4 linked regions of the Saccharomyces cerevisiae S288C genome follow. The gene in region 1 interacts genetically with each later gene. Each region holds a gene or a part of one and is shown in the gene's direction. Other genes may lie near its edges. The genes, in order: YSY6, YDR222W, AYR1 and DUS3.

Region 1 (7,436 bases):
ATCTTGTCTTGCGTGGTTACCGGATTCATTTTTGGCTTTTTCATATTATACGGTGAATTTACATTTTATACTTGGCTGTGCTCGGGACCATTTAACAACAAACGCTATTACATTCAGTGGTTGAGTGACAAGTTCAAGTTACACAAGTGGAAACTAACATCGTCTTACAAGAATAAGGAAAAGAGGCGGAATCCTACTCGTCACGAATATAATTCGAGGGGTAAGAGATTAAGAAAAGATTCTAATATCCCCTACGACAGCGTTTTCCTTGATATAGAAAAGAATCACGCAAAATTTACCGACTTAACCTGATTGAATTGCCACTGTTCTACCCCTATAATATTGTGAGCATGGATAAATCTCAAAAACAATGGCGTATAGATATATAACAGGTATTAAATCTTAGTATTTAAGAATTACAAGTAACATGCATTCCTATAAAAATTAAAGAGAAAAAAATTCGATTATAAAATAGTACAATGTCCAGAAGCTTGGTTTTTAATAGTATATAATAAAGATAAAGATAGATAGAGAACATAACTCTAAACTTTAAGAGTGAATTTTTTTTTTTTAGTTTAGTTTTTTTTTTTTTTTTTTTTTACAATAATGTATTGTTCTTGGAAAATAACACAATCTGTTCAAAGTGGACAGAAACCCTAAAACAAAAATAATAACGGGGAAGGAAAAAAATAGCAAGTGAAACATAAATGAAAAAAAGGAAAATTTTATTGGTTAATAAGAAACGATCGACTATGGCAAGGCCGCAGAAGAACCGGACTTGCTCAACCATTGGTCAACGACATCATCGCTTAAAGTAGCATCAAAGCTTTCGTCGACTTCGATAATGTGAATAGTTTTATCACTTGAATTAAAGATTACGGCAGCCTTTAAAGTACCATCAGTTGGTCTCTCGAAGTAATCTTGAGTACCACCATCTTGGCCGTCATGGATGTGTGAGATTAATTTATCAGAACCAGCGGTCAAAATTTCGAACAAATCCATTTCACCACAGCCAGTTTTCCAACAAGAACAAGATGCATCACCATATTGCAAGGTTCTTGGGATTTTTGCATTTAATAACCAAATAGCTGGCATATCTTGATTGTAGGCAGAACCGCTGGTGTCACTTGGCATAGAAAATTCGAAGACGAAAATTTTATCAGCCCCACCAAACCCATGATAAGCAGGAATGCCTTCTCTGTAATAACCACAATCGCCGTTATTACCGGAACATTCTTCACCGGAGAAAATCATGAATTCATTACCAGATTTAATGGTGACATCACCAAGAGCTTGAGCGGAGGCAGCACCAGAAACACCATCTGAAGCAGCAAAAGAGATGGAGTTACCGAAACAACTCGACCAGACACCAGAACCGGCAGTCCCCCCTTGGTTGTTCATGAATGTACAGTTGCTAGTAGAGCCTGGGACAAAGTAGGAACCTCTGGACCAGTCACCGTTAGTGTTAGAAGATGATGACGAAGATGATGAAGCAGCAGCAGCAGAAGAGGTGGTTTTAGAGGAAGAGATGGAAGACTGGCTTTCACTCGTTTCAACTGCTTGAGCACTGCTGGACAAAACAGTAGAGTCTTTAGTGTAAGAAGAAGGAACAGCAGGACCGACAACGGTATTGGTGGAATCGGCTGTGACTGTTTGACCATTACTGTCGACGTAAACAGTGGAAGTAACTTGAACATATTCAACAGCAACATCCCTCTTGTGCTGATGCTTATGTCTGGAGACAACAGCTTCACCTTCCTTACAGGACTCGATTGATTGTTTCTCTGATCTTTTCTTCAAAGCATTAGATTCACCATTTGGGTAGTAAACACCAAATTGTAGTAACTCGATCGGACCCCTGAAATGAACAGATAGTTCCTCGTTGAAGGGAGCCAAGCTACCAGAAGCAGTGAAATCAGCTTGGGTACAAGCACAAGAAGATTCATCCATATTGGTGACATCTTGGTAGGTAGCAGATAAACCGACGTTAGAGTAAATGATGGCATCGGTTTGAGCACAATAGTAATTACCGCCAGAGTAAGTACAATCAGCGTTCACGAGTGACACAACTGAAGAAAACAAACCGACTAATGCGGTCATGGAAAGCTTTTGTAACATTTTTTTCGTTCAAATTCCGTTAGGTTTTAGATATTTTATGGGGTGTAAATGGAAAAACGAAAAGGTGAGAAAAAGACGTTCTATTGAAGGAGTGACTAGAAGTTGGATAAGTTAGGTTGGTTTGAGTTTTGATTCTGGAGTCTTCTTGCGAGAAAAGAAATAATTATAATATAAAAAAAAATTGAATGGAGATAAGAAGTTTAACTAGCAAAGTTCGAGAGATATAAAAAGTAGAGATGCGAAAATAAAATTAAAACAAATCTGAAAATAATGGAAGTGAAACAAGGCTAAGCAAGAAAATTTTCTATATTGCCAAGACAGGAACGTTTGTGATGAATCACATCTGCATTCGTGGTATATTTAAATGAAAATCCCAAGTTTCGAATTTTCACGTTTGCTGTACGACGAAAAAGCGTGGAAAAATAAACAAAACCAGCACTAAATCGCCAACGAAAAAGGAAAGTCGCCAACGCGAAAAGAAAAGAAAAAGCGAGGCGCAGATCTCGTGGTATGTGATATCGTGTCTAATGACTTGACGTGGCTTTTTTTCTTGTCGCCATCTGCGCTTACTTGCGTTATATCAAATATAATTTCAGCACAGCATTACATGCAGAAATAGCAGGGTGCAGAGGTCGAAGTAGATAGAGGACAACACCTGCGATGGCCGTACAGACACCAAGACAAAGACTGGCTAATGCCAAGTTTAACAAGAATAACGAAAAGTATAGAAAATACGGTAAGAAGAAGGAGGGCAAAACTGAGAAAACCGCACCTGTGATATCCAAAACTTGGTTGGGTATTCTTCTGTTTCTTCTCGTAGGTGGTGGTGTTTTGCAACTAATCAGCTATATCCTATGAAGCAGTGGCAAATTGCATATATAAGTGTACAGTGGAAGCAAGTACGTAAATAAATAAGCGATTTCGAATAATAATAACAACAAGCATAAGGCAGTATTACCCGCGTTGTCATTTATGGATGCGAAAAAAGATGAAGTAATTCAAGTGCTATTGTGATTTACCATGCCAATCAAACGTGCAACAAAGATGAGTATGAGGGGGGACCCAGGCATAGTACACAGAAAAGCTTTGTAGACTGTCTTTGTTTTCTTAATTTTTCAAGTAGGCTTTCTGCTTTTCTTCTGTACTTATCGTATGCTGGGCCGGGCACTAATCAACAAGTATGGATTTTTAATTCATCCTAGGAGATTTGTACATTTAAACGATAAGTCCCTTGATGGAACATTTATACTACCTTCGAAGAAAAATCATATGTATGATGTTCCAACTAATGATCCAAGCGGTATCCTGAATGCCTCGGATATCGATAGAATCAATAATTTGCCATTTTTCGATAACACCAGTCCGACAAAAGAGACAAATACTAAGGAAGGAGCATTGTTGAGCGAAAAATTGGCCAGCGTTAAAGAATTATTTGGAGAAGACCCTGAAAATCCTTCGTTTATCAATTACAGATTCCCCAGAGGTTTAGAGAATCCCTATTTTGACATTCAAGTAAATCAGCTAAAGAAAAAACGATTATCCGTCACACAATTATGCACTACGCAGAATTGGTGCGAGTTAAGGAATTTTTACGACTTTTATTCTCAAAATTTGTCTAACCAACTACTGAACTTAAAATTTCAGGTGCAGAAAGGTAAAAAGATTCATAAATCACTAGAGGACGAAACGCATCCTGAATTAAATCAGTATAAAAGCTTTACCCACAATTTCCTTGCACTGACAAAATTATCTATGGATATTGATAATGATATGGATGCCCTGCTAGATAACTGGTTCAACTCTATCAATAGATTGGTCTCTTTATTCACCAAAGGTGACGGTCATGCAAGAGAAATAGTTTGTCATGGCTTCATTAACTTAGAAGATGGCAAACTGGTGGAGCATTTGCTGAACAGTGATAGCAAGACAAAGGAAAATGTGATTATATCAGGTGTTATTGACCACTTAACTCTTAGAAATAGGCACAATCATCAAGTACAGAAAGGTGCAGCTCATCTTGATACGGAATATCAGAGCTGGGGTAATATCCTCACTAATTTACTATCAAATCTAAAAGAACTGAAGTCGAATAACGAGATTGTTATCTCTGATATCAAAACTAGGTCAGTACCAAAAATACCATCTATTGAGTCCGTTATAGAATCCTCTAAATTACAGACAATGTATTATAAGTTTTTTTTTTCCCACCTTAGTCAAGACATGACACAAACCTACCATAGCTTTTTAATCAATGCCCAGAGAAGAGGACTCGACGTTGATGCGCCCATAAATCCTACCAAGATTTTAACATTCATACTAACAAACCCACTCTTCGCTAATGATGTGAAGAACCTCCTGTACGGACTACCGATAAATCATTCTGCTTTCGATAACGACGCCAAAGGCTCTAATACATTTGATATGACCGCGTTCAATGATTTGCTGGATAGAGGTCCCACATCTTTTAACGTTCCGATTGAGCAAGACGAAGATAGTTCGGAGTCAACAAAATGTGTATCTTTGCGAGATTATGGACATTTTTATACGAAATGGAAGACACCTCTAACTTTGAAATACTTTGCGGCAAGGTTATCACAGATCTATTTTATTGTGGGTAATCTCGTTTCGAATGATTTAATGATAGAATATTATTACCATAACGATAATTTCCACAATATCATCTTCCCATATGATCCCTTGAAACTGGGAACCCATGCCCATGATTCTGCAATGGTTTGGTTTGGTGGCAGAGATATGCATCCAATTGAGCCTACTCAAAAAAACTTCAACACATACTGTAAGTTTTGTGACTACAGACACGTTTGTTCTTGGAAAAATAAAAATGAATTGAAACTTATTGATCTAGGGAAAGAATTAAAAAAAATTATTCTTGAATCAAGTATGAAGTAGTGTAGGTATTGTAACATTATTTATTCTAGTTATTAAAAGGGTGTTGTTTCGTGAATACATTGAAGTCCTTTATTGGGTTATTAAGCACATAAATCTGTTTCTGCTTTCGGACGTCCTGTTTCAATAAATCGGAATTGAAATGACAATTTAATTTAAATGTATATATGCAACTTTCATTAAGAGGTCATTAGGTATTTTAATGCGGCCTTCTCATTCATCGGAACGATGTAATTGCCTTTAGAATTAAAACCCAAAGAGAAACATGTATACACTTACTAACTCTATTATGTTTGGATAGAGCTCCTTGATAATTCAGTTACAAAACAAATTATATGTATATTCAATGCCATTTAAAAAGTATGCATCTACACTTTTTTTTTGCAAATCTTTATCGCTATAACTGTTCCTCTTTTATAACATCAATCAACCAATCTAAACCTTCGGTAATACCTTCGCCTTTAATTGCACTGGATGCTACGATAGACCAACTTCTGTCCTTCAATTCTACAAGATTCAGTTCTTTGGAGACTTCACTGGCACTTAATGCACCCGGTTGGTCTTGTTTATTTGCAAAAACCAGCAGTGCTGCATCTTGCAATTCTTCTTCCTGTAACATCAAATGAAGTTCCTTAGAGGCTGTAGACATACGATCTTTATCAGTCGAATCAACAACGAAAATAACTGCAGCAGTGTCTGCATAATAACACCTCCAGTAGGGCCTGATACTTGTTTGACCACCAAGATCCCAGACGTTCAATTTTAAGTTTTTATAACTTAGCGTCTCTACATTGAAACCAATGGTTGGCTTTGTAGTGACTACTTCGCCAATTTGTAAACGATATAAGATGGTAGTTTTACCTGCACCATCCAAACCCAAAATCAATATACGCAATTCTTTGTTTGAACCCCATAGTTTGTCAAACATTGAACTAAAAATGTTACCCATCTTGATCTATAACTCACTTTACTGGAACTTTCTTCTTAGATCTTTCTTTATTTTTCCTTTGGTTTTAGAAACCTTATTACTCACCGTTTCGTAAATACAAATGAACCACGCAATCCTTTACTACTTGAAAGTTCCGAGAACATTCTGCCTAATATTAATTGTCGTAAATCTAACTTTTATAGGCAAAATAGTTTTATTCAAAATTTCAATTGGAAAGGGCTCTGTTACCCGTCCTGTACGATGCAGTGGGTTTTGTTATTGTCATAAGAAATATTTAACCTACTCTTCCCATATATATCATAGAACACATTCTTAGTATGTTTTGAGAGCATCAATCTAACGTTGCCTTTGTCGTGATTTTGTGCGAGGAGGCGATATAAGAGCTAAACAGATTTTTTTATATTTTAATCAAAAAGCTAATAATTATGGCTTACTCTTTAACAAGGAAATTGCTGAAGGATTGGAAATATTTTATGCGCCATCCTGAGAAGACCCAAGGTCTTTTTCATGTAAGGCCACATGATTCAGACTTACATCTTTGGCACGTGGTAATGTACGAGCCCAGGACTTCTTTGGAAGTATATCTACTACTTTATATTGGCGGAAACGACCAGGATCCATATATCATCATGAAATGTCTGTCTCCAAATTGTTGCTTTCCAATTAACAGAACGGTTTCGATGACACACTTAAACTATCTTTTATTGAAAGACTTGGGATTACAGGATTTACTTTTCCACATATGGCAACCGCTTTTTCATATTCAAGCAACGGAAGACTTACAGTATTCACCGTCAACGGTAAAATTCAACAGGGCGTGGAATAGGATTATATATAAGGACTTTAAATCTTATTTTCCGGAACTGATAGGTACTTTACAACCAGGTGATTACTCTATAGTAAAGAGCTATTCCAAAAATCATAATATCAGCAATAGTAATGGTGGCAGTGTCAATGAATTTATGTCCTCTTACAATGCTCAAAGCCACACCTTTCACGCACAAGACAACAGCAAGAACCCTTATACTAACAGCAGCATAGGAAAGTCTAGTATGTTATCTACTCTCAACAATAATAACGTTAACAAAAGGACACATGACTACAATGCTATCGACTTTATGACCAAAAACTTACTTGCATGTGATGATGACAGTATTCATCCGGTCGTAAGTTCTAAAAGGTCAAGAACGTTGGCATGTCCAGATGAAACGAACGATAATCGCGGTAGTGAGCATTACACAAAGAGGAAAAAAATCTAATGGGTTTATTTTTACATAGAATAGTAGAACTTTCTTCCTTTTTTCACGATTTTTTGCATGGGCATTTGTCACAATATATATTTTTATTCAGTTATATAAATATACTCCTTTTCACAAAAGAAGGCCTAATATTATAGGAAATCAGCATTAAAAACATTATGTATTTCTTTTTTCAGCGGCCGAACGGTCACTAGAATGACTCA
Region 2 (8,200 bases), on another chromosome or scaffold:
GACAATATTCGGAACAATAGGTTTAATGGTAAGTTTGTCAGGGACCTTTCCTCCAGCGGCATCTGTACACTACAAGAAAATAATGTCATCTATGTGGTTGAAGGAACTATAACTAATTCTGGAACAAAAGTGAACTTTCCTTGTGCAGTTTGGCCAATTTGTTTTGATATTTTGTATGAGGATATTTAGCAAGTAGTAACAGAGACTCCTTGGTTATTTGAAAACTTTCCCTTTGTTTAAACTATAGCAAAGTATAACTTTCCTTTTCCTATTTTGTGAAAAAGTAAGTAAATATTGTTATCTCCTCCCAACTGGTTAAATACTGGGTAGGTGCACAAGCGTTTATAGTTTCTAAGAAGACAGCACCAGGAATAATGATAAACAGTTGTTTGGGTCAAAACAAAACGGGTATTGCCAATGCCTTTTAAAATACTTACCCGGCCATAAAATGAATAATAATAGTGTATGAAGACTGTGTTGGAAGATGTTATGGTAGAAGCAGAGGCTTCCGCACTGCATTTAAGAAGCATAAAGGCACTTCTGCTATTTCATTAAGAAGATTCGCTATGGTGAGCATGTTCTCATTATTTCTGCTATTAATTGAGCAATCGCCGCTTGTAGCGTCATTGCAACAAAGTCAACGGCATATAGTGGGTGTTCCCTGGGAAAAGCAGCACTTGTATGACTCGAATGAACCAGATTTGACTAAATGGCACTGTTTGAACCACGAAGATATCGTATTGGATATAAGCCAGATTAATGATGGGGTTTGTGATTGTCCTGATGGTTCAGATGAGCCCGGCAGCGCCGCCTGCGTGGAAGATATATTCAAAAGCGTTGCAGAGGGAGGTGGTAAAGTGAATAAGTATTTTTATTGTGATAACAAGGGGTTTATTCCAAGATATATACGAAAATCGGAAGTCGCAGATGGTATTTGTGACTGCTGTGACTGTTCTGACGAGCTACTTTCTGGATATGAGCTCTTTGATGCTGGATCTAATTGTTCTCAGTTAAAAAACGAATTTGACATTATGGCCTCTAAAGAGTTATCAAGTTACCGGGAAGGTAAAGAGGCCCTAGAAGAACTGGAAAGAAAATACGGTACAAAGGAAGAGGCTATCACCCGTGGTAATTGCTTAGAAGAAGATAAGGAAAAAGCTTCTGCCGAGATAAAAGTACTCTCCAACAGGCTCTCAGAAAATCGAGCCAAATTAGAGCAGTTGAGAGGCGAGTACTTTAACCAATTAAGCCATGATCCCATTTTGTATCAATTTGAACAATTAAACAGTACTCGTTTGGGATCGGACATCCTTACATCGTTCACTATGGTTTCAAGAGTAAGTAAAGGTTACCAGGACATATTCAAGATTTTAAGTGATTTATCAGAGGCCTATACTCCCTCGCTAAATGATAAAGTTGTCAATGATAATATTAAAAAATTCAGAAAAGTTAGAAGACGGGCTGAAAAGGCTAAAATTAATGCAGATAGCAAAATTGATGATGAGCAGGCAGATAATCTTTACTTGTACTTTACAGAAGAAGTACCTCAAATTTTTTTGAAAAGAGAATCTGAGAACACGTTGAGGTACGTCATAGGAAAATCCAATTTTGTTCAAGCGCTAGTGGAGGGTAAAATTAACTATACCAACGATATCTTGGAGTATATCAGAGAATTCCGTTTGATTATGGATGATATTTCTCAGAATTACAATGTTAACTTTCAAGATGCAGGGGTCAAAAGTGCTGTCGATTCGTATAAAAACTACCTAGGTGAATACGGCGAACTGGCTGAATTAGAACCAGCTCACCCGTCAGAGAGCCTTTTGAGATCGTTGAGCGAAGTAACATCATTTGTGAACGAGAATGCACCAAAGGTATTGCCACCAGACGCTGTTGAGTCAGAACAAGATACGAACAGCGATCATATCGGTACTTCTGGAGATTTGCGCAATAAACTCAAAGAGATTCTATCTAAGCTGAATATTTTTTCATCTAGAAAAGATTTGGTCTCATTAGAGAAGAGATTCCGCTCTTGTGAAAGTCAAGTCAGTCTCCTGGAGAATGAATTAAAGCAAAAAATGGACTATAAGAAATTATTAGATGAAACTGAAGATGAAGGAACTAATTCTACTGCAGGAAATCTGACTGAGCTTTTAGAACTAATGGGATCACAATCCTATTGTCTTGACGACATACTGGACAACTATGTGTACACTATATGCTTTCAACGTCCAATGACCGAAGGTGTCATATATCAAGCTGAGGATAAGGTTGACGGTAAAAAAGTTTTGATCGGTCGTTTTAAGACATCAGGTTTTAATGTTGACTTAAACATGGAAAAATACGCAGAACATTTAAAGGCCACATATGATGAGAAGAGTGATTTGATTTCAAACTTAGCAGCTATACAGGACGATGACGGTAACATGCAACATTACGTATTCGGGAACTTAAACGAACTGAATAATGGTCTGGTACTAGAATACGAAAATGGAGACCAGTGCTGGAATGGTCCGCGCAGATCGGCTACTGTATTTGTTCGGTGCAGCGACAAATTCAAGATTCGGAGTGTACATGAAGCGACTAAGTGCAACTACATCTTCGATGTCGTTGGTCCTCTAGGCTGCAACAAGACTTTCGAATACGAGCCCCCTAAGTTCAATTTAAGTGAATGACTGGAAAATGAGTAGTTAGGCTTTTTTAGTAAGTAAACAACTAGGAAGGCCGATGCTGTGCCGTGATACTCTTTTCCGCAACAAAAGCAATATTTCCCTCGGCCAAAACGCGAAAAGACGATAAATAAGTATATCGTTCCAAATACTGATAGTTCTGTACGACCTGTTGGAATAACGCGAAAAGAAGGGTACGGCGTAATCACCCCACACGGCTTGTATTTTTTTCGGAGAACTAAGTCATAGACGTAATGCTAATTTTTCCGTCTAGCCGATGTTTATGCGGCTTTTATTTTTTTTTTTTTTTTTTTCTCATCTTTGTTCTTCCGGTTTCCAAGATGTCTCACAGATTATTACAGTGAATTCCAAAATCATGTTTACTACTGGAATTTGTATGCATATGTTTTGGCAATCTTAAGCCTACGGATTTTAAATGTGATGGATATAACGAACAGTGTTTACTGGAGACTCACTTCTCTGGGCTTGAGTTTACGATGTATAGTCATATAAAAATGAAGAAATTTCTTGAGTGACAATTGCCGCCGTACTTCGTATTGTCTTTTCTTGACAGTGAGGGCGTATAAGATACATCGTACATACATAGAGACTCATTTAGTGATGCTTGAATCGAGCAGTGATAAGATAAAGTTTGCGCCTATTAAAGAGGTAGATTACAAAAAACCGGTAAGTAAGAGTAAGAACTATACTCTTATTAATGACATCCAACCATTGGAGTGGTATTGTCACAATGATAGTGAAACGGGCTACCAACACACCATAAGTAACAAGACAGATGGTGGTAGAGGTTTATTCAGAGTGATGAAAAAATCGATGGAGACCAGAGTCGAGACCCAAACGTTATATTTCACAGATTTGCATACAGGCTTGTGTGGATTTGTTCAATTACTGTATTCTACGGTTATGGGTGGTATCTATAAAGGCTTCCAATTGAATTTCAAGGTTTTTGGCTCAGAAAGTAATAATACTGACTACGACGTTTGGGAAAGTTTTAAATTGGATGACATAGCTGAATTTCAACCATTAAAGTTTGTCTCTAGAAATGTTATTTTTGAATTTTTGAGCAACAAAAATGAAAAATTAGGTTCCATTGGCCAGTTATCTATCAAATGTGATTTACCAACATGTAACAATACAATTCAAAATTTGAAAATCGATTTGTTGGTGGATTTGTTTCAAGGTTTTAAGATGAACCCCAACGGTTGCAATTATTATTTTGACAAACAAATCTCGATGAGTGACGAATTCGTTTCCTCAGACAAAATGATCAGACATGTTTTTGTGCCCAGAGGTAAATGTAATGGTAATATTTCCTACGATAAAAAACTCAATAGTGGGGACTTTCAAAATAAAAATATTTCATTAACTGATGTTCCTGTCGTTTATCTGGACGCTGTTCAAGGTCTTTTGCCGAATAAAGCAGCCAGTAAATGGAATTTCCTATGTTTTCAGAGCGAAAACTACTCTGTTTTAGCAATTGAATTCACTACTCCTCGAGATCATGATAACGTCACCGTAACAGTTTGGTCAATTACTGAAAAAAACAAACTGATATCTATTGGTTCTTCTGTGCAGAGCCCAAAACGTCATGTTAGGTTCCGTGCTACGAGTACAGATAAGGAAAGCGGCTGGGTATATCCAACCTCTATCAAGTTCCCCGGTGGATTTTCAGAACACGACTTGAGGCTGGTTAATCGATACGACGTTCTCGGTGAGTTACCAAGCATGGTCAGGTCGTTAGCTCAGAAAATTGTGAGCATCAAACCTTTCATTTATCAATACTGTCAACCTTCTAAATATAAGCACGAGAAAGGTATTTCTATCGTTGAGAGCACCTTCATTAGTTGAACAAAAGCGTGAACACTTCCACATGAAATTCGTTTTTTGTCCTTTTTTTTCTCTTCTTTTTCTCTCCTGTTTCTTCTACCAACTTTACCTAATAATTAATGTGTAATCGAATTTTTTTACATAATCACTACCTAATAACTAATTTATCATCACTTTTTTTTTTCATTTTGAGGCCACACTTTCCCCCATGGACTATTGCATCATTGCGCCATGCTTCTTACTTGCGTAAGCCATAGAACGGAAATATCATGTTCCCCTTGCCGCATGCATATTGAAAACATCACGGGAACGAGAAGAATGGCATTTTCGAAATAAAAAGAAATCATATTTCAAATGTTGGGGAGAGAAAGCAAAGGGGAATCAATAATCATTAAGGGAAGTCGATGAAAGTTTCCTTTTCCGAACTCTACCTCGCCTTATATAAAACCTTGGTCTAAACGGATAAACCGAGATGTAGTTGAGTTTGTGAATCCAGTTCTTGTCCTTCTTCCTCTTTCAAAAAGTGAAGCAATCAGTTGAGAGTGTAGCTATAGAGGTGTGTACTCTAGAAATCAGACTTTCATAGCAAGCAGACTTTTTTTTTGTTGAATCTTACTAGCGGATTTTTTAGAGTTTTCTTCTTCGGACTAATCTGTCAATGGTTCCAGTAAGATTAATGAGTCAAAAGCCCTCTATAATTGTATCGAGAAATTTCTTAAAAGAAGGAATATAATTATTGCGGTCACTAGAAAGTTATAAGAAGGTTACCATTTAACTGAACAGCAGCGGTATAGTACGGAATAAAAAAGTCTTTTAAAATGTTGCTTAGTGCGCCTGTTAACAGTACCGTGCGGCGCAAGCCACACAGTCCAAATAAAAAAAAGCCAAAAGAGACAGGTACAGCTGCTTCCTTTTCGTCGTCCTCTTCAACTGTCGTCCTTTCATCCAATAATGATGGCAGCTTTGATGCTCTTTGGGACCCCTCTATAAGTAAGGCCTCGGATTTTGAGAGTAGCTATATTAGTGCTAAACGATTAAAACCAGAAAGTAGTAATAGACAGAAAAAAAAAAATTCTTATAAATATTCTAGGGAGGAAAACACCAACGAGGTAGAGGAAAAGACGTCTCTTGGCAGCAGCTCTAAGACAGAAGCAGATAATATATTTAATGACCAGCTCACGTCAGCTGGCAATACTACATATGTCAGTAATAAGCGCGATGTAAACTTCGGGGCGAATTCGGCTGTAGTACTGCTCGGTTTGCCAACAAGTAAAAGTGAATCTCACCGACAATACCACAGTCCTTCGGCTTCAACAACTAATGAAGATGAAGAGGACATTGGTGTTGATATTTTAGTAGACAACCACATCGATAGTTGCGAAACAGTATCGATAAATAATAATAGAGGTATTACACACCAATATCCAGAAACGGAATCAGATGTCGACTTTGATGAGGCCGTGATATTGACACCAATGGATGGTACGGATAAGGGAGTGAAAAATCCAAGACCACTCGAAAAAAAATATAGTAGCAGTTGTTTTGAGGACCGTACGCCCCTTAACTTGGATGATGGTCATTTCAGTGAATGCAATCATTTTTCTACATTAGATGTGTCTAGCTTTTTTCATCTCAACGAGCATGTGCATAAAATCGACGAAGTAGAGCTCGATGGACCTGATCGCACCTTTAGTCTAGACAACGTCGCTATTAATACAAGGAAAAAGGATATTGATTGCCTCTATAATAGTTCAAGAGAAGACTTATCCAACCTCACATGTTCTTCGGAAGGCCCAAGGAATGATAGTTATGATAGTGATTACAACATTGATGAGGTCACTTATAGAGATGATGAATCAACAGATGAAGACGAGAGCTTACCAACCCCAGATCGAAAAAGGAAGAAAATTGGCCATAAAGCTTGCGAAATATTGGATTCTAAAAGAATTGGAATAAAAGTACCAAAGTTATACGTTTGGTCTTTAAGTGATAAACCGTTTAGTGTTATCGATGGGTTGTGCACAAAATCGCTGTACCCATTGAGTGATGACATAAATACTCCTGAAAGTTTGAGCTCATGCTCAAGCTCAGTAAGTTCACGGGAAAATCAAAAAGGAGATGCAACATTTGATAATGATGCTATGATAGCCGACCTTCTAAACATAGGCGGACTCGAAGTAGAGAAGGCATCCAATGGCCATATTGAGCTCATAGGCGAGTGATTATTTGATATTCCAGAAGAATCATTATCGTCTTTTAAAGGAAAATATGATCGTTTGCGAAAAAATAGAAGCACTTTACTACTTGAATTGTCATAGAATAGTAGGAAAACCTACTTAGTCAGCGAAGATCAACTTGGAATATCGTATGATGAGATGGAGAAAAATTTAGGGGCCGAAATGGATGGATCCACTTGAGAGAGGATCAAGGAATACTGAAGTGCAGCTGACGATCCAGTCAGCGACATCTGTCTTTTTTTAATTACTATTGCTGTGTACTTATAGAGTCGGTGGCATTTATTTTATTTTTAGTATTTTTTTATACGTGCGTATTCTATTGTTCATTTTTTTACCAATTTTTTTTTTATTTTTATATTTTGTTTCTTGCGTGGAGTTTTTACAGGAAGTTAATCACAACAGAGGGTTCAATCTCCAAGGCATAAAATAAACAAAAATTGTAATAGTTAGCAACTGCAATACGAATTAAAATTTGAGGAAAAATCTAGTATTGTTCACACGAGCCAATGCTCTGAAGTTTCGAAAGCTAATAAATATCATGTGGAAACTTTTCTGAGTCATTAATAAGCAACACTATTTATTCTTCTTATAATTAGTCTTACAAGTAAACTGCCTTGCCGCATAAGCGCATTCCCTCTATGAGACCATTTGTAATTTCGAGAACACAATTTTACAACCGAGTAAATATCTTATAATCATTAAAATTATTAAACTATTATACAATTTTTTTTACTTTACTTTAATTTTTATATACCCATATAAATAATAATATTAATTATAACCAAAGGAAGTGATTTCATTATGCTTGAGTAGAGGAAGAGTACTTGGTAACAGCTCTAGTACCTTCAGAGACAGCATGCTTAGCCAATTCACCTGGTAAGATCAATCTAACAGCGGTTTGAATTTCTCTAGCAGAGATAGTAGACTTCTTGTTATACGCAGCCAATTTAGAAGCTTCAGTAGCGATTCTTTCAAAGATATCGTTAACGAAAGAGTTCAAGATAGACATGGACTTTTGGGAAATACCAGTGTCAGGGTGAGTTTGCTTCAAAACTTTGTAAATGTAAGAAGAGTATGTTTCCTTTCTAGCCTTGCTTCTCTTCTTACCATCAGTGGAAGTGGAAGTCTTTTTAGCGGCTGGTTTCTTTTCAGCTGGGGCTTTGGAGGCTGGTTTCTTTTCGGCTTTAGCAGACATTGTATGTGTGTATGGTTTATTTGTGGTTTGACTTGTCTATATAGGATAAATTTAATATAACAATAATCGAAAATGCGGAAAGAGAAACGTCTTTAATAAATCTGACCATCTGAGATGATCAAATCATGTTGTTTATATACATCAAGAAAACAGAGATGCCCCTTTCTTACCAATCGTTACAAGATAACCAACCAAGGTAGTATTTGCCACTACTAAGGCCAATTCTCTTGATTTTAAATCCATCGTTCTCA
Region 3 (8,140 bases), on another chromosome or scaffold:
GCATCCGAAACTTCATTGATTGAGAACAATAGCTTCACTGCAGCTGTGGATGAGGAAACTAATGCTGATAAAGAGACTACAGCTTCCAGGTCAAAACGCCGGAGTAGTAGAAAGAAAAGGACCATTAGCATTGTTACGGCAGAAGACAAAGAGAATACTCAAGAAGAGAGTACATCTCAAGAAAACGGGGGCGCTAAGGTGGAAGAGGAAGTAAAAAGTAGCTCCGTTGAAATTATAAATGGTTCAGAATCCAAGAAAAAGAAACCGAAACTGACCGTCAAGATCAAACTAAACAAAACAACTGTGTTGGAGAATAATGATGGTAAGCGAGCAGAAGAAAAGCCAGAGAGTAAATCGCCCGCGAAGAAGACTGCAGCCAAAAAAACTAAAACTAAATCCAAGTCGCTTGGGATTTTTCCCACGGTGGAAAAATTGGTGGAAGAAATGCGCGAACAGTTAGATGAGGTAGACTCCCATCCAAGGACGTCCATTTTTGAAAAGCTTCCTTCGAAACGCGACTATCCGGACTATTTTAAAGTAATTGAAAAACCCATGGCCATTGATATTATATTGAAAAACTGCAAGAATGGCACTTACAAAACTTTGGAGGAGGTAAGGCAAGCCTTACAAACGATGTTTGAAAATGCTAGATTCTATAATGAAGAGGGATCCTGGGTTTACGTTGATGCTGACAAGTTAAATGAGTTTACTGATGAATGGTTCAAGGAACACTCTTCGTAACGTTTTCATCACCACATGTTTTTTTTTTTTACGACTATATCCCTTTCCCCTCTAATACTCTTTCTAGCCTTTTTTTCTACCTCTACATATGTTTATAAAATATATACCACTGTAACAATAAGATCGACAGAGCGAATATAATTCTTTGAGTAACTAATATCCTTTGGCTTATTCTCTGGGCTTATTAGTGCCGCAAAATAATTACCCGGCGGCGATGGACCAGTTAGCTTCGACCGTTTGCGATTCCGGGGCTAAGGAAGGGGCCTCTGCAAATAAGAAAGAGGCATTACACATAAATGATTGGCAAAGGGACTGCGGGAGTCAAGACCTACATGTAAGTCCGATTTACGATAACGGTTTAGATTCATTGGGTGTGTACTATTTATACTTTAACAAACCCGTGTGTTATTTAATAAGATCATATCTTGTTTGTTTTTCGCCCTCAATTTTGTTTCTGTCACATAGTCGCAGCAGCTGAATATAGATAGGAAGAGAGAAGGAAGCGATTCTCGTTCAGCATCATACTTCTTCCTAATTTCCCCAAATTAAAGTTTCGTTTGAAAGAAACAACAAAAGAGAAAGAAAGCAGTTTTTAGAAAATACTAAATTTTACCGTTATGCTAAGGTTCGTGTCTTCGCAAACCTGCCGGTATAGTTCAAGAGGACTATTAAAAACATCTTTACTTAAAAATGCATCTACTGTCAAAATTGTCGGAAGAGGGTTAGCCACCACTGGTACAGATAATTTTCTATCGACATCAAATGCCACCTATATCGATGAAATGTACCAAGCTTGGCAAAAAGACCCATCTTCAGTCCATGTTTCATGGGACGCATATTTCAAGAATATGTCTAACCCAAAGATTCCAGCTACAAAGGCTTTTCAGGCTCCTCCCAGTATCAGTAACTTTCCCCAGGGTACCGAAGCAGCTCCCTTAGGGACCGCAATGACTGGTTCAGTAGATGAGAACGTCTCCATTCATCTAAAAGTGCAATTGCTATGTAGAGCTTACCAAGTTAGAGGTCATTTAAAAGCCCATATAGATCCTTTAGGGATCTCATTTGGTAGTAATAAAAATAACCCTGTTCCTCCGGAATTGACTCTAGACTACTACGGCTTTAGCAAACACGATCTTGATAAAGAAATCAACCTAGGACCTGGTATCCTGCCAAGGTTTGCAAGGGACGGGAAATCTAAAATGTCTCTGAAAGAGATTGTGGATCATCTAGAAAAGTTATATTGTTCCTCTTATGGGGTACAATACACACATATTCCATCTAAGCAAAAGTGTGATTGGTTAAGAGAGAGAATTGAGATTCCTGAACCTTACCAATATACAGTGGACCAAAAGAGACAAATCTTAGATAGATTAACATGGGCCACTTCTTTTGAGTCATTCTTATCTACAAAATTTCCAAATGATAAGAGGTTCGGTTTAGAAGGTTTGGAAAGTGTTGTTCCAGGTATTAAAACTTTGGTTGATCGTTCTGTTGAATTGGGTGTAGAAGATATTGTTTTGGGTATGGCTCACCGTGGTAGATTGAACGTTTTATCCAATGTGGTCCGTAAACCAAATGAATCTATTTTTTCTGAATTTAAGGGTTCGAGCGCTCGCGATGATATTGAAGGATCGGGTGATGTCAAGTACCATTTGGGTATGAACTACCAAAGACCAACTACGTCTGGTAAGTACGTCAATTTATCGCTGGTGGCAAATCCTTCTCATTTAGAATCCCAAGATCCAGTTGTTCTTGGTAGAACTAGAGCTTTATTGCATGCCAAGAACGATTTGAAGGAAAAAACAAAGGCCTTAGGTGTGTTATTACATGGTGATGCTGCTTTTGCTGGGCAGGGTGTTGTTTATGAAACCATGGGTTTCTTGACCCTACCAGAATACTCTACTGGTGGTACTATTCATGTTATTACAAACAACCAGATCGGATTCACTACGGATCCAAGATTTGCAAGGTCCACACCATATCCTTCCGATTTGGCTAAGGCCATTGATGCCCCAATTTTCCATGTTAACGCTAATGACGTGGAAGCTGTGACCTTTATTTTCAATTTAGCCGCAGAATGGAGACATAAGTTCCACACAGATGCCATAATTGATGTCGTTGGTTGGAGAAAACATGGACATAATGAAACCGATCAGCCATCGTTTACTCAACCATTAATGTACAAAAAAATTGCAAAACAAAAATCTGTCATTGACGTCTATACGGAAAAATTGATAAGTGAAGGCACATTTTCTAAAAAAGATATTGATGAGCACAAGAAATGGGTATGGAACTTATTTGAAGATGCTTTCGAAAAGGCAAAGGATTACGTCCCATCTCAAAGAGAATGGTTAACTGCTGCCTGGGAAGGATTCAAATCCCCAAAGGAATTGGCCACTGAGATATTACCACATGAACCAACTAATGTTCCAGAGAGTACTTTGAAAGAACTAGGTAAGGTACTCTCTTCGTGGCCAGAAGGTTTTGAAGTGCACAAAAATCTAAAGAGAATTTTGAAAAATAGAGGAAAATCTATTGAGACAGGTGAAGGCATCGATTGGGCCACCGGTGAAGCATTAGCGTTCGGTACATTGGTTTTGGATGGTCAGAACGTTAGGGTTTCCGGTGAAGATGTAGAAAGAGGTACATTTTCTCAACGTCATGCAGTCTTGCATGACCAACAATCTGAAGCCATTTACACACCGCTAAGCACTCTGAATAATGAAAAGGCAGACTTCACCATTGCAAATTCCTCGTTATCTGAGTACGGTGTAATGGGTTTCGAATATGGTTATTCGCTAACCTCCCCAGATTATCTAGTCATGTGGGAGGCTCAATTCGGTGACTTTGCAAATACAGCACAGGTTATTATTGACCAATTTATTGCCGGTGGTGAACAAAAATGGAAGCAACGCTCTGGTTTAGTTTTGTCTTTACCCCATGGTTATGATGGCCAGGGGCCAGAACATTCGTCTGGTAGATTGGAAAGATTCTTGCAACTAGCCAATGAAGACCCAAGATATTTCCCATCTGAAGAAAAGCTACAGAGACAACATCAGGATTGTAATTTCCAGGTTGTTTATCCAACTACGCCTGCTAATTTATTCCACATTCTAAGGAGACAGCAACATCGTCAATTCCGTAAACCATTGGCGTTATTCTTTTCTAAACAGCTGCTGCGTCACCCATTGGCCAGATCATCTCTTTCCGAATTCACTGAAGGCGGATTCCAATGGATTATCGAAGATATTGAACATGGAAAAAGTATTGGTACGAAAGAGGAAACCAAGAGATTAGTTTTGCTGAGTGGCCAAGTGTACACTGCCCTACATAAAAGACGTGAAAGTTTGGGTGATAAGACCACTGCTTTCTTAAAGATTGAACAGCTGCACCCATTCCCATTTGCTCAGCTACGTGATTCATTAAATTCTTATCCAAACTTGGAAGAAATTGTTTGGTGCCAGGAAGAGCCATTGAACATGGGTTCGTGGGCATACACAGAACCACGCTTACACACAACATTAAAAGAAACGGATAAATATAAGGATTTCAAGGTCAGATACTGTGGTAGAAACCCAAGTGGTGCTGTTGCTGCCGGTAGCAAATCACTACATTTGGCCGAAGAAGATGCCTTTTTGAAAGATGTTTTCCAACAATCCTAAAGATGAATTCAAATATGAAAAACATGAAAATACAGCCATATAAACACGTAATATTTTTACCTTAATGTTTATGGACAGCCTTTTTACTTGAAGAATGATCTAACAAATATTTTTTTTGATACATTCACATTTTTTTTTTGTTCATGATGTTAGCATCTGCTTAGTCTTTTTAAAATTATTTAATTTAACGTTTTATTTATGTGAACCTTTTTTTATTAGTTGTATTTACTATTTATTCAAGAATCATTCTTTACTTTATATTGATATCGTTTTTTTCCCCCTACTTCCTCCTCTGGTGTATTCACAGCTAGGTGCTTCTCTTGTCCTCATCCGGTGGAGAAAAAAAGTGAAAAATAAGTCAATGGAAAGGGGGAAGGGGGTAGGTAAATAGAGTGAATAAGTTTTATTCATCATGCCCAACTTCTATTAATATATACTCAATTCAAATATTGATCAGGATTTCAAAGAGTATGTCGGAGTTACAGTCACAACCTAAAAAGATTGCCGTTGTTACAGGCGCCTCAGGTGGTATTGGATATGAGGTAACGAAGGAATTAGCCAGAAATGGCTATTTGGTTTATGCATGTGCAAGAAGACTAGAACCAATGGCACAATTGGCCATCCAATTTGGTAACGATAGTATCAAACCATATAAGTTGGATATTTCCAAGCCAGAAGAAATTGTAACATTTTCTGGTTTTTTGCGAGCTAATTTACCTGATGGTAAATTAGATTTATTGTACAACAATGCCGGTCAGAGTTGTACATTCCCTGCATTGGATGCAACAGATGCTGCAGTAGAACAATGCTTTAAGGTCAATGTGTTTGGTCATATCAACATGTGCCGTGAATTGTCGGAGTTCCTTATTAAAGCGAAAGGAACCATTGTCTTCACTGGTTCCTTGGCAGGAGTTGTGTCATTCCCCTTTGGTAGCATTTATTCCGCTTCTAAAGCTGCTATCCACCAATATGCTCGTGGGTTACATCTAGAGATGAAGCCCTTCAACGTGAGAGTGATTAACGCTATTACTGGCGGTGTGGCTACTGATATCGCTGATAAAAGGCCCTTGCCTGAAACCTCAATATACAACTTCCCTGAAGGTAGGGAAGCTTTTAATTCAAGAAAAACCATGGCTAAGGACAATAAGCCCATGCCAGCTGATGCGTACGCAAAGCAACTGGTTAAAGATATCTTGAGCACTAGTGACCCTGTAGATGTTTATAGAGGAACGTTCGCCAACATCATGCGTTTTGTCATGATATTTGTTCCTTACTGGCTATTGGAAAAAGGACTTTCCAAAAAATTTAAATTGGACAAAGTTAATAATGCTTTGAAGTCGAAACAGAAGAATAAGGACGATTAGTGTTTCACCATCGTCAATAGCTACCTATATTTATATACAAGATTCCGTATAGTTTGTACACCACGTCAGGACATCAATAGCTAATAATCGTTCTAATGCTAATGTTCAACTGCTCTTTAAGTATTGTTTACGTCTCGTCGTACCAGTATGCCAAATTCCTGTCACTTCACTCATTCTCTTTGCTCTTACCGTTTGAAACGCGCTGGGACGGAATTCGCTCATTTCGCATCGTGCTTTGTTGTTTTTTTTTTTTCAAAATTGCCATTGTTTATTTATAAACTACATGAAATTATTCTGTATTTATCTTCGCATTCCCTCTCTTACTTCAAAAGTGAGAACAGCATATTCAAATATATATATCTACTCAGTTGAATAAGACACTATAGCAAGACCATTTGAACTGAAAGAAACAGTTTCTTTGCTCCCCTCTCGAATTCCAACTATTTACAGTCCTTCCTTTATAAAAATTAACTAGCGAGCAAGAAAACATTTGTTTAGTGCTACCCAACTACTTACATTCCTTTAAAAACCACAATATTTAAGTTAACCTGAGCTTTATTTTTAGTAAGTTATTTACCACAATTTTTCTCATACACCTTTACAATCCGTATTGCCATGAATACCAAGGCTTGCTCAGCTTCTGCAGCAGTTCAACCCTTTCCAATACCGCCAATGCGTCCTCAAAACGTTAGTTTAGTCGTGCTCAACCGCTATTTTTGGTTTTATCTTCGTTTCTTTCTCCTGAACGACATTCGTCACGAAAATTGCGGCGGAAAATTTCCTGATGCGGACACTTTTTCCCGATCCGGACATGCCTTTTTTTGGCGTTTCGCGTCAGTCAATAGAAGTTTCAGATCTACATTAGGAAGAACCAGAAAATAGCCATTAATGCTTTCAGCATAGCACAGCATAGCAGCTGTGTATATCTTAAATAAGATGTAGACTGGTTTGCATTTGGAAAGGTTTTGTGTAAGAAAAGCAATACTTGAGGTAAAACAAGAGAAAAAAAAACACTTTACTAACTAATATCCAATCCTTTATTTTTTTGCAGAAATGAAATTCTCAACTGCCGTTACTACGTTGATTAGTTCTGGTGCCATCGTGTCTGCTTTACCACACGTGGATGTTCACCAAGAAGATGCCCACCAACATAAGAGGGCCGTTGCGTACAAATACGTTTACGAAACTGTTGTTGTCGATTCTGATGGCCACACTGTAACTCCTGCTGCTTCAGAAGTCGCTACTGCTGCTACCTCTGCTATCATTACAACATCTGTGTTGGCTCCAACCTCCTCCGCAGCCGCTGCGGATAGCTCCGCTTCCATTGCTGTTTCATCTGCTGCCTTAGCCAAGAATGAGAAAATCTCTGATGCCGCTGCATCTGCCACTGCCTCAACATCTCAAGGGGCATCCTCCTCCTCCTCCTCCTCCTCGGCAACTTCTACCCTAGAAAGCAGCTCTGTTTCTTCATCTAGTGAAGAAGCTGCTCCAACATCTACTGTCGTGTCAACTTCTTCCGCAACCCAATCTAGTGCTTCTTCTGCCACTAAATCTAGTACTTCTTCCACTTCACCATCTACTTCTACTTCTACTTCCACTTCTTCTACTTCCTCTTCCTCTTCCTCCTCCTCCTCCTCTTCTTCTTCTTCTTCTGGCAGTGGTAGTATCTACGGTGATTTGGCCGACTTTTCAGGCCCAAGTGAGAAATTCCAAGACGGCACTATTCCATGTGACAAATTCCCATCTGGTCAAGGTGTCATTTCTATTGACTGGATTGGCGAGGGTGGATGGTCCGGTGTGGAAAACACCGACACTTCCACTGGCGGTTCATGCAAGGAGGGGTCCTACTGTTCCTACTCCTGCCAACCAGGTATGTCTAAGACCCAATGGCCATCCGATCAACCATCTGACGGTAGATCTGTCGGGGGTTTGTTGTGTAAAAATGGTTATTTGTACCGTTCTAACACTGACGCGGATTACTTATGTGAATGGGGTGTCGAGGCTGCCTATGTTGTTTCTAAACTAAGCAAGGGTGTCGCCATTTGCAGAACCGACTACCCGGGCACTGAAAACATGGTTATCCCAACCTATGTTGAAGGGGGTAGCTCTTTGCCATTGACCGTTGTTGACCAAGATACTTACTTTACTTGGGAAGGCAAAAAGACATCTGCTCAATACTACGTTAATAACGCCGGCGTCTCAGTTGAAGATGGGTGTATCTGGGGTACTTCTGGATCTGGTATTGGTAACTGGGCACCATTAAACTTTGGTGCTGGCTCCACTGGTGGAGTGACATACTTATCATTGATTCCTAACCCAAACAACAGCGACGCATTGAACTACAACGTCAAGATAGTTGCTGCTGATGATTCA
Region 4 (9,312 bases), on another chromosome or scaffold:
ATACAGATTGAGATTGAGAATCTCCAGAAAGAGAAACGAAGAAGAAGATGCCAAGAACCCATTGTTTTCCTACGTCGAACCAGTTTTGGTTGCCTCTGCTAAGGGTCTACAAACCGTTGTCGTTGAAGAAGATGCTTAAATTGTAAAAAAAAAAAAATAATGTCCATCTTATAAGCATTTTATTTCTTTTAGGTTATATTATTACACAAACAGAGCTGCTTTCGGGGTACGAGTATACGCTCTTGAATGATAGGAAAATATATACAATTTCAGTACCACAGTTTATTAGATTTTTGTAATTCAAAATTTATTCATTCTTGTCTCTCAACCACTGAGGCGCTCCTCTGCACACAGCTATTAGCTTTATAAGGAATTTCAACGCCCATGCCAAATCCATCCTCGCCGTAACGCTTGAACTCAAAGGTTTTATTAAACCAGTCGATCAGACTAATGTAATTTTTAAGATTCATCATTTTCTTTAACAGAGATTTCTTCAACTCCATATTTTCAAGCATACAGTACAGATGGTGCTGAGCCAATTGAAAAGGCAAGCCACCAAACTCTAGAGCCCAATAACAAAACTTCTCAATGCAGCCCCAAGGGCAGGTAGTATATCCAGCAAATAACGCTGGATTGCTTAACAACCCACGCACAGCCATGACACCATGTGCACCAGTGTATTTGGTGATTCTTTCCAAATCGGATAACTTAAAACAATCCCCATTCGCTATTACAGGCACATTTTTGTCGCTGATGTTCTCGATGATATATTTTATCGCATCCAGGTTAGCCGGCTGCGATGACCTAGTTCTACGTGTTCGGCCATGAATCGTAATCCAATCTACCCCAGCATCACATAGCTTTCTACATAACTCCACCGTCTCGTCCAATGCCTCATGTATTCTTATTTTCGTTTCAATTCTTAGTTTGTCGCCATACTTATCTTTCACAGCATGGACCATACTGCATAACAAATCTGAATTGTATATCAGAGCGCAACCTATGCCCTCTCGGATTTGTTCCTTTATAGGACAACCACAGTTAATACCAATACCATCACAGTATGGGGCAACCATTTCCACAAATTTTAGTAAATCAGCCACGTTATTTACACCTACTTGGACGATTAGCGGGGTGTCCTCATTATTTGTAGAAAGGTCTGAGATTCTTGCATGCTCATTACGGACATATTCTCTTGCCAAAATCATGGGGGAGTAAACTATATCAACGTTATATTCTCGGCACAACTGACGGAATGGTAACTTGGAATACCGAACCATTGGGCCTGCAATGGTCACGGGCCGACCATGTGTCTTTTGCCTCGTCTTTATTATATGCAGTGGATCTGTTTCTTCAGTAATAAGCTTCGGCTTCGGTATCAGAACATCACCGGATGGAATATGCATTGTGTGCATTTTCTTTAGAATCTTTATTCTGCATATGAATTATAACTTTGAAGAATCCATCTCTTATTTTCATTTTGAGTTTTTTCGCTGATCATCTTTTTTTTATTCAGGGCGAAGAAGCAGAATGCTGGAAGAGCCTACTTACTTAGAAAATAACAGCTAGGTTTTAAAATTATATAGCGAGAAGTACAATTCTATCAGCTATGTTTCTTGGATTTTTCCTGACCCTTTCTAACAAAAATGAATGCAGTGCAACCTGTGATAAAAAAAAGTACACATATTATGCAATGGAAAATTGAAATGCCAATAATATAAGATAAAAATCTTTTTCGAAGCATCAAGTTTCTTAATCCCTGCTCAAAATTCATCCTAAACTTAATCCCACTTTCTGGATGTATTATTAGATTTCTTTGGGCAATCTCCGTTTTCAAGAACACCGAGATTGTTTCATATGAAGACTCTAACGATATTTTGTCCTCTATTCTTATTGTATTTAGCCATTCTTCATCGTAAACGTCTAGACGTGATGGGCCTAGTTGTTCGATCTCCTGAGGCGACATGGAATCCGTCAGTGCGAGGCAGACAATAGGTCTAGAAGTGTGAAAGATTTTTTCATCTTTGCTGTTACTTCCTCCAGGAGCACCCAATAGCGGGCCTGGACCTCTGTAAACATCAATTAACAAATTGTCTAAATTTAAATGGTCAGTTTTGCTCTGGCAATAAAGCTGTAGGTTTAGATCGAGCTTGTATTCCATGTTGTCACGCATGGGGATTAACTGTGATAAGCCATTGTCTATTGTTTGCGGCAGATCTGTACCTACCGGAATGCTTTTAATAGATTGGAAGAATTTTGTACCAAATTGTACGCCATTTAAAATGTTGAACGTATTAAGGGGGACTACGTTAGAGGAATCGGCAGGTAATAGTCTTAGGTAAAAATCGTGATATATTAAGATCGATAAAGGAAGAATGATTAGCAATTGTATCAGAAATGCAACAACAATATATGAACTCCATTGTAAAAACTGTAATGGACGGGATACATTGATTTTCATCCTTCCTATTCACTTTATCTTATTTTCTTGAAACCTTGGATTCACATTTTGATAATTTGCCGTAAGCTGTCTCTATTTTTCTGTCTTACGCGCATTTATATTTTTAATAACCTTACGTTGAGATTTTCAAATTATACACATAGTAGCAACTAATGATGAGGTAGTTATACTTAACTTTCAAAAGAGCGACTCTAGTATTAGATGAACAATTAGGTTGCTTTATATGGATGACGAAAAGTCTTATTTACAAAATAACTCTCAATAAATGTTTCTTGACCATATGGCTTGGTGTTGTCAACTTTCTAGATAATACTTATCAGCGTGATTGGATTGTAGGTTTGGGAGGAAGGTTGCTTTTTAAGTTACTTATAGTATATTATTATTGATATTGAATTAATTTACTTTCATAAGTGTATAAAATAAAAGTTCAACATTACTAACAAAACTATAATATTTTCTCAACCAATTATTAACCTGTGATAGTTGCGCTGTAATTCCAGTCTAATTAATATGCTTCGTAAGATTAATTGTAATATTTAAGTAATCTTTTAATGGTTCAATAAGATAGTTTCTGCCTAGAAAAACGATCCGACAACGTGCATGGTAATTCACTTACAAATACACAGAATTGCAGATAAAAAACGGAACCTTTTATTTAAGATTTAGAGCATGAATAAGAAGAATTAAAGTTTCTTTTCTTAGAATAAAAATAGTTTTTAATACATCAGAACAGAAGGAAGTAAGTAAAGCCAAAATATATATAGTAAAAACACAGTAGTAAAAAATGAATAGTAAAAAACACACAACAATAATACTAAAAGGAGAGACCAGACAGAGCGCAAATCGTTTTCATGACGGAGTATTTAGAGGAAATGATGACAAAACAAGAAAATGTTATTCTATTATAAGTTCATTTTTCAATAATAGATATGCTTTTTATTTTTTGAAATTAATGGTAACAGTCGAAGAGCACAGCTTTATCATGCATTTTCGTTCAAAGATGATCACATAAATTGCGCCCAACAACAAGAGAAAGAGCGGCCGCTCGATGCATGAGTCGGTAACGGTAGAATTAGTATCTAAATAGCATACTAAATCAATTCAGTAAAGAAACAATTATATCTTAGTGAGTGGAGTGGCCCCTGTGATATTTTAAACCGTTCAAGTTCTTATATCTCTTACCACAAACTTCACAACGGTATGGTTTATCCTTTGCAGAGCCCATTCCATCACCAAAAGAATCTGTCGAATCTGGATCTATTACGCTAAATGTACCGTCAGGGTTTTCATGTAATTTTTGATTCTGATGTCCGTGCAACCTATGGTACTTCAAACCGTTTTGGTTTTTATAAGTCTTTTCACAACCAATAACTGGACACTTAAAGGGTTTTTGTTCCTCATGATCCATTACATAGAGCCTTCTCGCAGGATCGTCTATATAAGCTTGCTGAGGCATCTTGTAATTGTTGTTATGAACTGATTTTCCATTGGAACTGGAGCCATTTTCTGTGTCATCGTCATCGTCATCGTCATCGTCATCATCAACATCATCGTCATCATCAATGTCATCAATGTCTTGATCCTCGACCATGTTTTGAGAAGATTTTGCGTGTACGGAAGAATGAAAAGTATTGTAGTTGTGAGAACCTGTAGTTGGATTTACGACAGAGTTCATGGAATTGTGGTTACTAGGGCCCAAAATATCATCATCCATAAAACTTAAATCTATATCTTGGACAAGTACCAGAGGTGATAAATCGGTTTGATGAGGATCAATTTTTCTTGATTGATGTTGAATAGGATTCCTGGACGTTTTGTTCAAGGAATAGTTATTAAAAGTATGTGGACGATTCACCATGGCGTTTTTACTACCCATGTTAATATTAGAATTGTGTGAGGTATTATTATTGATATTGATACCACTATTATTGTTACTGTTAATTTGTTTATTGTGCGGAACGTGTCTTGATGGAGAATTGCTCGTTCTTAAAAACACATCATTCGTTGAAACGGCATCGACTAGATTACCATTCAGATGTAGTTGTTGAGAGTGATTAGCCATAGATAAGCCCGAGTTGGGGGCACCCGTTATAGATATCACATTTGGATTTGCAGTTGTGGACGACGCAGTTGCTGAACCCATTACACTCGGTGTGGGTACAGCCCCTGATGTATGATTTACAGAATTCGATTGCAACTGTTGTTGTATTATATTCTGCTGATGGTGAGGATGCTGAGATTGTCGTATTGTGGAGTTGGAATCCATGTTGCTCTGAAGATTGGCATGCATATTATTAATGGAGGTGTTATTAGTTGCATTGCTGCTATGAGCCTGCATAGTATTAGTCTTATGACCTGCATTTTTTGTATTAGCGGCCATGTTATTCTGCAGGTTATAGTTGGCAGAAGAGGTATTATTTGTCATACGAACTGATGAACTAGTGTTACCAGCAGAGTTCATCGGTATTTGTGACATATTGGTAGTGTTAGGAGACGTGGATATATGAGCTTCTTCGTAATGTCTCAGCAAATCATGCAAACCTGGTAAGGAAAGACCACAGCATGAATAATCTTTACAATATTGCTTTTCTAGATTTGGCAGATAAGCAGTGTAGGCTATCTGAGGAGAAATAGAATACCCTCTATGGTAAGGCGGATTACTAACAGAGGGTCTCTTAGTTGGTTGTTGAATCTGCAAAGTATTAGTGGCAGTAGTGGTTGCAGAAGCGGCAGCGGAGGCAGCACCGTTTGCTGATGCAGGTACAATACTATTTCTACGGCTAATAATTTCATCTCTTAACCAAGAACCAACACTAATGGATCCCCATGAAACACCACCCATCCCTTGAGAATGGGCTATTGATTCTCTCCGTAACTTGGCAATGTCCTGTGGAGTTAGTAGCGTTTGGTCCATTATATTTGGAGAGTACAAATGAACATTATTTGTATTATTCATGATATTTTTTTGGTGAATATTATTGACGCCGTTAAAATCTGTGTTTTTTCCATTAGAAGAATCCGAATTGTTATTTATCAAAATGGAAGGAGTATTCTGGTTCGAATCAATATCAATATTAAAGTTTGATGACGAATTTATAGATGCATGTGCCGATGTAGCCGTCGTAGTAGTACTAGTAGCCATATTGCTTGCCATAGTCATTGTTGTAAAATCCATACTCAGATAAGCTTTTCCTGTTTCGAAGAAAAATAAAAATACTGAATATGAATATGTCTTTTAATAACAATAAATTTGAAAACGCCTTACAAGTGAAATCTTGAGGTGATTAATAGTAGGTGAATCCAGAGAAAGTGTTTCGAGGATATAATATGGTATCAGAAAGCCAAAAGACGACCGGTATATTATAAACTTAGTATGAATGTATCGTGGCGCTTTTTTCTCCTAGCTTTATTCTTCTTGCTTTCTCGCTCTAAATATGATATTGCGATAAAAGGAAGTAGTTTAACTCACCGTAAAATCGATCAATATTAGAAAAACAGAAAACCACCAGAGAGAAGCACCGATATGTAATTGAAGTAGAAAAAAAATCTAGCTTTCCTTCTCTTTATAAGCGAACTTAATGATTAGATTGACTAGCGCTATCCTTCTTTGATTGTAATATTTGTCAAACCTTGTTAACGGAGCCACTAGAATGTACAAGACGTTATATAGGGATGACAGGTAGAAAAGAGATAGGGCCTGGGAGGTAAAATGCGTACGTTAGCCTAGAGAGCTTTAAATCGGTGACGATGCGAAAGCAAATGATAATGGCAATAGCGGTGGCAGGCGACAGTGGCAAGTGACAATGGCTGATAGTGACGTTATTTGATACAAAATCGCCTTTTAACGAATGCATCGCCCATTTGTTCCAAATTTCAATTGATTCGAAATTGCTCCTTATTATGTAACTGACAAAATCCTGTCCCCTTGCACGACGTAGGCGCGTTTTGTTTCTTTTTCCTACCGCAGACCACCTTGCGCACGGGAACGCCGCACTGTTTGGCACCCAGTCACCGCCCGTACCGTCGTTCCACAGAACATGCCGCAGAAACCTGTCGGGTAATAGTACACGGGATGAAGAGACTTAATGCCGACAAGCCGGGTAGGGGAATTGTAGCTCCGAAAAGCGACGGAAAGTTCAATATACAGAAAGCCCGTGCACCATTTTTGAAAAGTTTCATAAGATCTAGTTAAAGTTATGAAGAATTTAGTTCGAATGTGTAGTGATGAGATGAGCAGTAATGAAACATTAATGAACTCAGAATAGGAAAAAAAGGCAACTTCTAAACATTATTGATGGAGCAAAACGCTGAAAAACGCTCTATTGTTGGCGACGACAACTCAACCGTGAAGAGACAAGACACTTCCCCGTCCAAAGGTATTGCACATATCAAACCAGAATATATTGTACCATTGAAGCAGAATGAAAACCAGAAGGTCGCCATCTATGATGAAGAGATGTCTTCCGACAGAATGACAAACGAGTTTGCAGGTGGGACTAATAAGAAAAATAAGAACGGAAGAGGTAAGAAGCGTGGGCAAAACAAGAATAGAGATAACAGGCAGGTCAAGGAACAGAATGTCTTGTGCCCACGCTTGATCCATGGCGATATATCTAAATGCTCCTTTGGTGATAACTGTAGGTTTGTTCACGATATCAATCTGTACCTTTCAACAAAAAAGCCTGAAGTTGAAAGTAATATATTTCCTTCCTGTCCGGTCTTCAACTCGTTGGGATTTTGCCCCATGGGATTCAAATGCAGATTTTTATCGTCTCATCTGAATAAAGAAGATAATATCCTAATATCGAAGAAGGAGATTGATCCAGATGCGCAAACAATATGGTCCGTTAAAGGTGAGGTAAACCATATCTCACCGGAAAGAAAACTCGATCTTATAAAAAGAAGATTTCCTTTCACAAAAAGTAATGAAATATTGGAAATCATCGACTCTTTCCAACAAGAATGTAGAGATTCCATGAAGCCAGAAGAAGAAGTTGAGTCAACGCCACAGCTGAAGAAACAAGACCCAGATGTGGAACAACCAGTTGCCCCCCAAGTCGAACAGAGGAACAAAGAATTGTCAGAACATAGAATGAAACAGCGTGAAGTATACTTGAAGTACAAGGACACTCGTTATTTTGCTCAAGAAAAAAAGCCACTGGATTTGTACCACAAAAAAATCGTGTCGCCATTGACAACCGTAGGCAATTTACCATACCGTCGTCTAATGAGAAAGTTAGGTGCAGATGTGACATATTCGGAAATGGCCTTGGCAGTTCCCTTAATTCAAGGAACTAATTCTGAGTGGGCGTTACCTAAAGCTCACACATCAGAGTTCCCCGGGTTCGGGGTTCAAGTGGCCTGTTCTAAAGCCTGGCAGGCGGCAAAGGCTGCAGAAGCACTCGCAAACTCCGTCAGTGAAATAAGTGAAATCAACTTAAACTCTGGCTGCCCCATCGATTTGCTATACAGACAAGGTTCTGGTAGCGCCCTGCTGGATAACCCTGCAAGAATGATTCGTTGTTTAAACGCGATGAACTACGTATCGAAAGATATTCCTATCACGGTGAAGATCAGAACAGGTACAAAGGAAGGTCATCCTATCGCGGAAGGGTTAGTCAAAAGACTGGTTAACGAAACTGATGTGGCTGCGATTACCTTACACGGTAGGTCTAGGCAACAAAGGTACACTAAGTCTGCGGATTGGGACTACGTGAGTCAAGTGGCTGACACCTTGAGATCCGCCGAAGCGGATTTCATCGAAACCGAACAAGGCAAAGAAGGCAGGGATTCCAAGAACAGAATTCAATTTGTCGGAAATGGTGATGTCAACAATTTTGAAGACTGGTACCGCTATTTGAACGGAAATGAAAATATTGATAGTGTTATGGTTGCTCGAGGGGCCCTGATCAAACCATGGATTTTTGAAGAGGTTGAGTCGCAGCAGTATCTAGACAAGACAAGTACGGAAAGATTAGACATTTTAAGGGATTATGCGCAGTTCTCTATGGAACACTGGGGCACCGACGAATACGGCATTTCTCAATGTCGTAGATTCTTCTGCGAGTTCATGTCCTTTTTTCATAGGTATGTCCCCATGGGTATTTGTGAAAGATACCCTGTGAAGTTGAATGAGAGACCGCCAAACTGGTGTGGAAGAGACGAACTTGAAACTCTAATGGGTAGTACGGATGTTAATGATTGGATCAAGCTAAGTGATCTATTTTTCGGTAAAACCGACGAGAACTTTGTATTTGTCCCCAAACATAAGAGCAGCTCTTATGCAAACAGAGATTCCTAAATAGAAAATCAAGTGTACATGTATCATAAATCATATCTGATGGGTAAGCGCGGTTATTTTTCCTTTGCAAGACGAGAATTGGAATATGTACGGGTGTCAATTTCAAACGTGAGGTATGGGTTCCAAGAAAATCAAAATAAGCACAGCTGGGAAGGGTTAGGTAGGAGCGGAGAAAAGTGTATTGAGAAAATCTTAACGAGTTCGGACAGGTTATCATCGCAACACAAATGAACATAACTATCAACCTGATGCAACTGTACCTGAGTGGCTCAAATAGCAGGTAAATACAGGTGGATTTAGAAAACGCGCAGTGATTTGAATCTCGCAAGTCGCCTCTGAAAAAAGGCATTTCGCAAACTGGGGTGTCTGGAAAGTTCATTACATCCCGTTCACATAGCTCCTTCCTGGTACTTGAGTAAGTCTTTTAAAACAATTCAACATCTACTTTGTATCAGGCGCTTGGATTTACACTTTTGGCATATTTATTCCTACGCTGCAGTTGCTATTAGCCGCGGAAAGGAAGTACAATAACGTTTTACGTCGATTCGTG

What was found.
Region 2: mutations in YSY6 (region 1) and YDR222W together harm fitness more than expected from each alone (negative genetic interaction), as found in Saccharomyces cerevisiae (one large-scale study listed by BioGRID).
Region 3: mutations in YSY6 (region 1) and AYR1 together harm fitness more than expected from each alone (negative genetic interaction), as found in Saccharomyces cerevisiae (one large-scale study listed by BioGRID).
Region 4: mutations in YSY6 (region 1) and DUS3 together harm fitness more than expected from each alone (negative genetic interaction), as found in Saccharomyces cerevisiae (one large-scale study listed by BioGRID).

The regions. Positions count from the first base shown.
Region 1 is NC_001134.8:562,453-569,888, forward strand, and holds YSY6 (Ysy6p), read left to right. Parts: upstream 1-2,778; coding exon 2,779-2,976; downstream 2,977-7,436. Other genes in the region: mannosylinositol phosphorylceramide synthase catalytic subunit CSH1, read left to right, coding at 1-312; TOS1 (Tos1p), read right to left, coding at 751-2,118; EXO5 (Exo5p), read left to right, coding at 3,271-5,028; Arf family GTPase ARL1, read right to left, coding at 5,423-5,974; UBS1 (Ubs1p), read left to right, coding at 6,400-7,233; TYR1 (prephenate dehydrogenase (NADP(+))), read right to left, coding at 7,390-7,436. UniProt on the Saccharomyces cerevisiae protein: Interacts with target proteins during their translocation into the lumen of the endoplasmic reticulum. Protects unfolded target proteins against degradation during ER stress. May facilitate glycosylation of target proteins after termination of ER stress.
Region 2 is NC_001136.10:906,764-914,963, forward strand, and holds YDR222W (uncharacterized protein), read left to right. Parts: upstream 1-3,290; coding exon 3,291-4,538; downstream 4,539-8,200. Other genes in the region: MFB1 (Mfb1p), read right to left, coding at 1-89; GTB1 (Gtb1p), read left to right, coding at 567-2,675; CRF1 (Crf1p), read left to right, coding at 5,336-6,739; HTB1 (histone H2B), read right to left, coding at 7,554-7,949.
Region 3 is NC_001141.2:121,331-129,470, forward strand, and holds AYR1 (acylglycerone-phosphate reductase), read left to right. Parts: upstream 1-4,873; coding exon 4,874-5,767; downstream 5,768-8,140. Other genes in the region: RSC chromatin remodeling complex ATPase subunit STH1, read left to right, coding at 1-741; alpha-ketoglutarate dehydrogenase KGD1, read left to right, coding at 1,359-4,403; putative glucosidase SIM1, read left to right, coding at 6,821-8,140. UniProt on the Saccharomyces cerevisiae protein: Can convert acyl and alkyl dihydroxyacetone-phosphate (DHAP) into glycerolipids and ether lipids, respectively. Required for the biosynthesis of phosphatidic acid via the DHAP pathway, where it reduces 1-acyl DHAP to lysophosphatidic acid (LPA).
Region 4 is NC_001144.5:921,892-931,203, reverse strand, and holds DUS3 (tRNA dihydrouridine synthase DUS3), read left to right. Parts: upstream 1-6,755; coding exon 6,756-8,762; downstream 8,763-9,312. Other genes in the region: 60S ribosomal protein eL31 RPL31B, read left to right, coding at 1-139; DUS4 (tRNA dihydrouridine synthase), read right to left, coding at 312-1,415; SEI1 (seipin), read right to left, coding at 1,604-2,461; zinc-coordinating transcription factor SFP1, read right to left, coding at 3,585-5,636.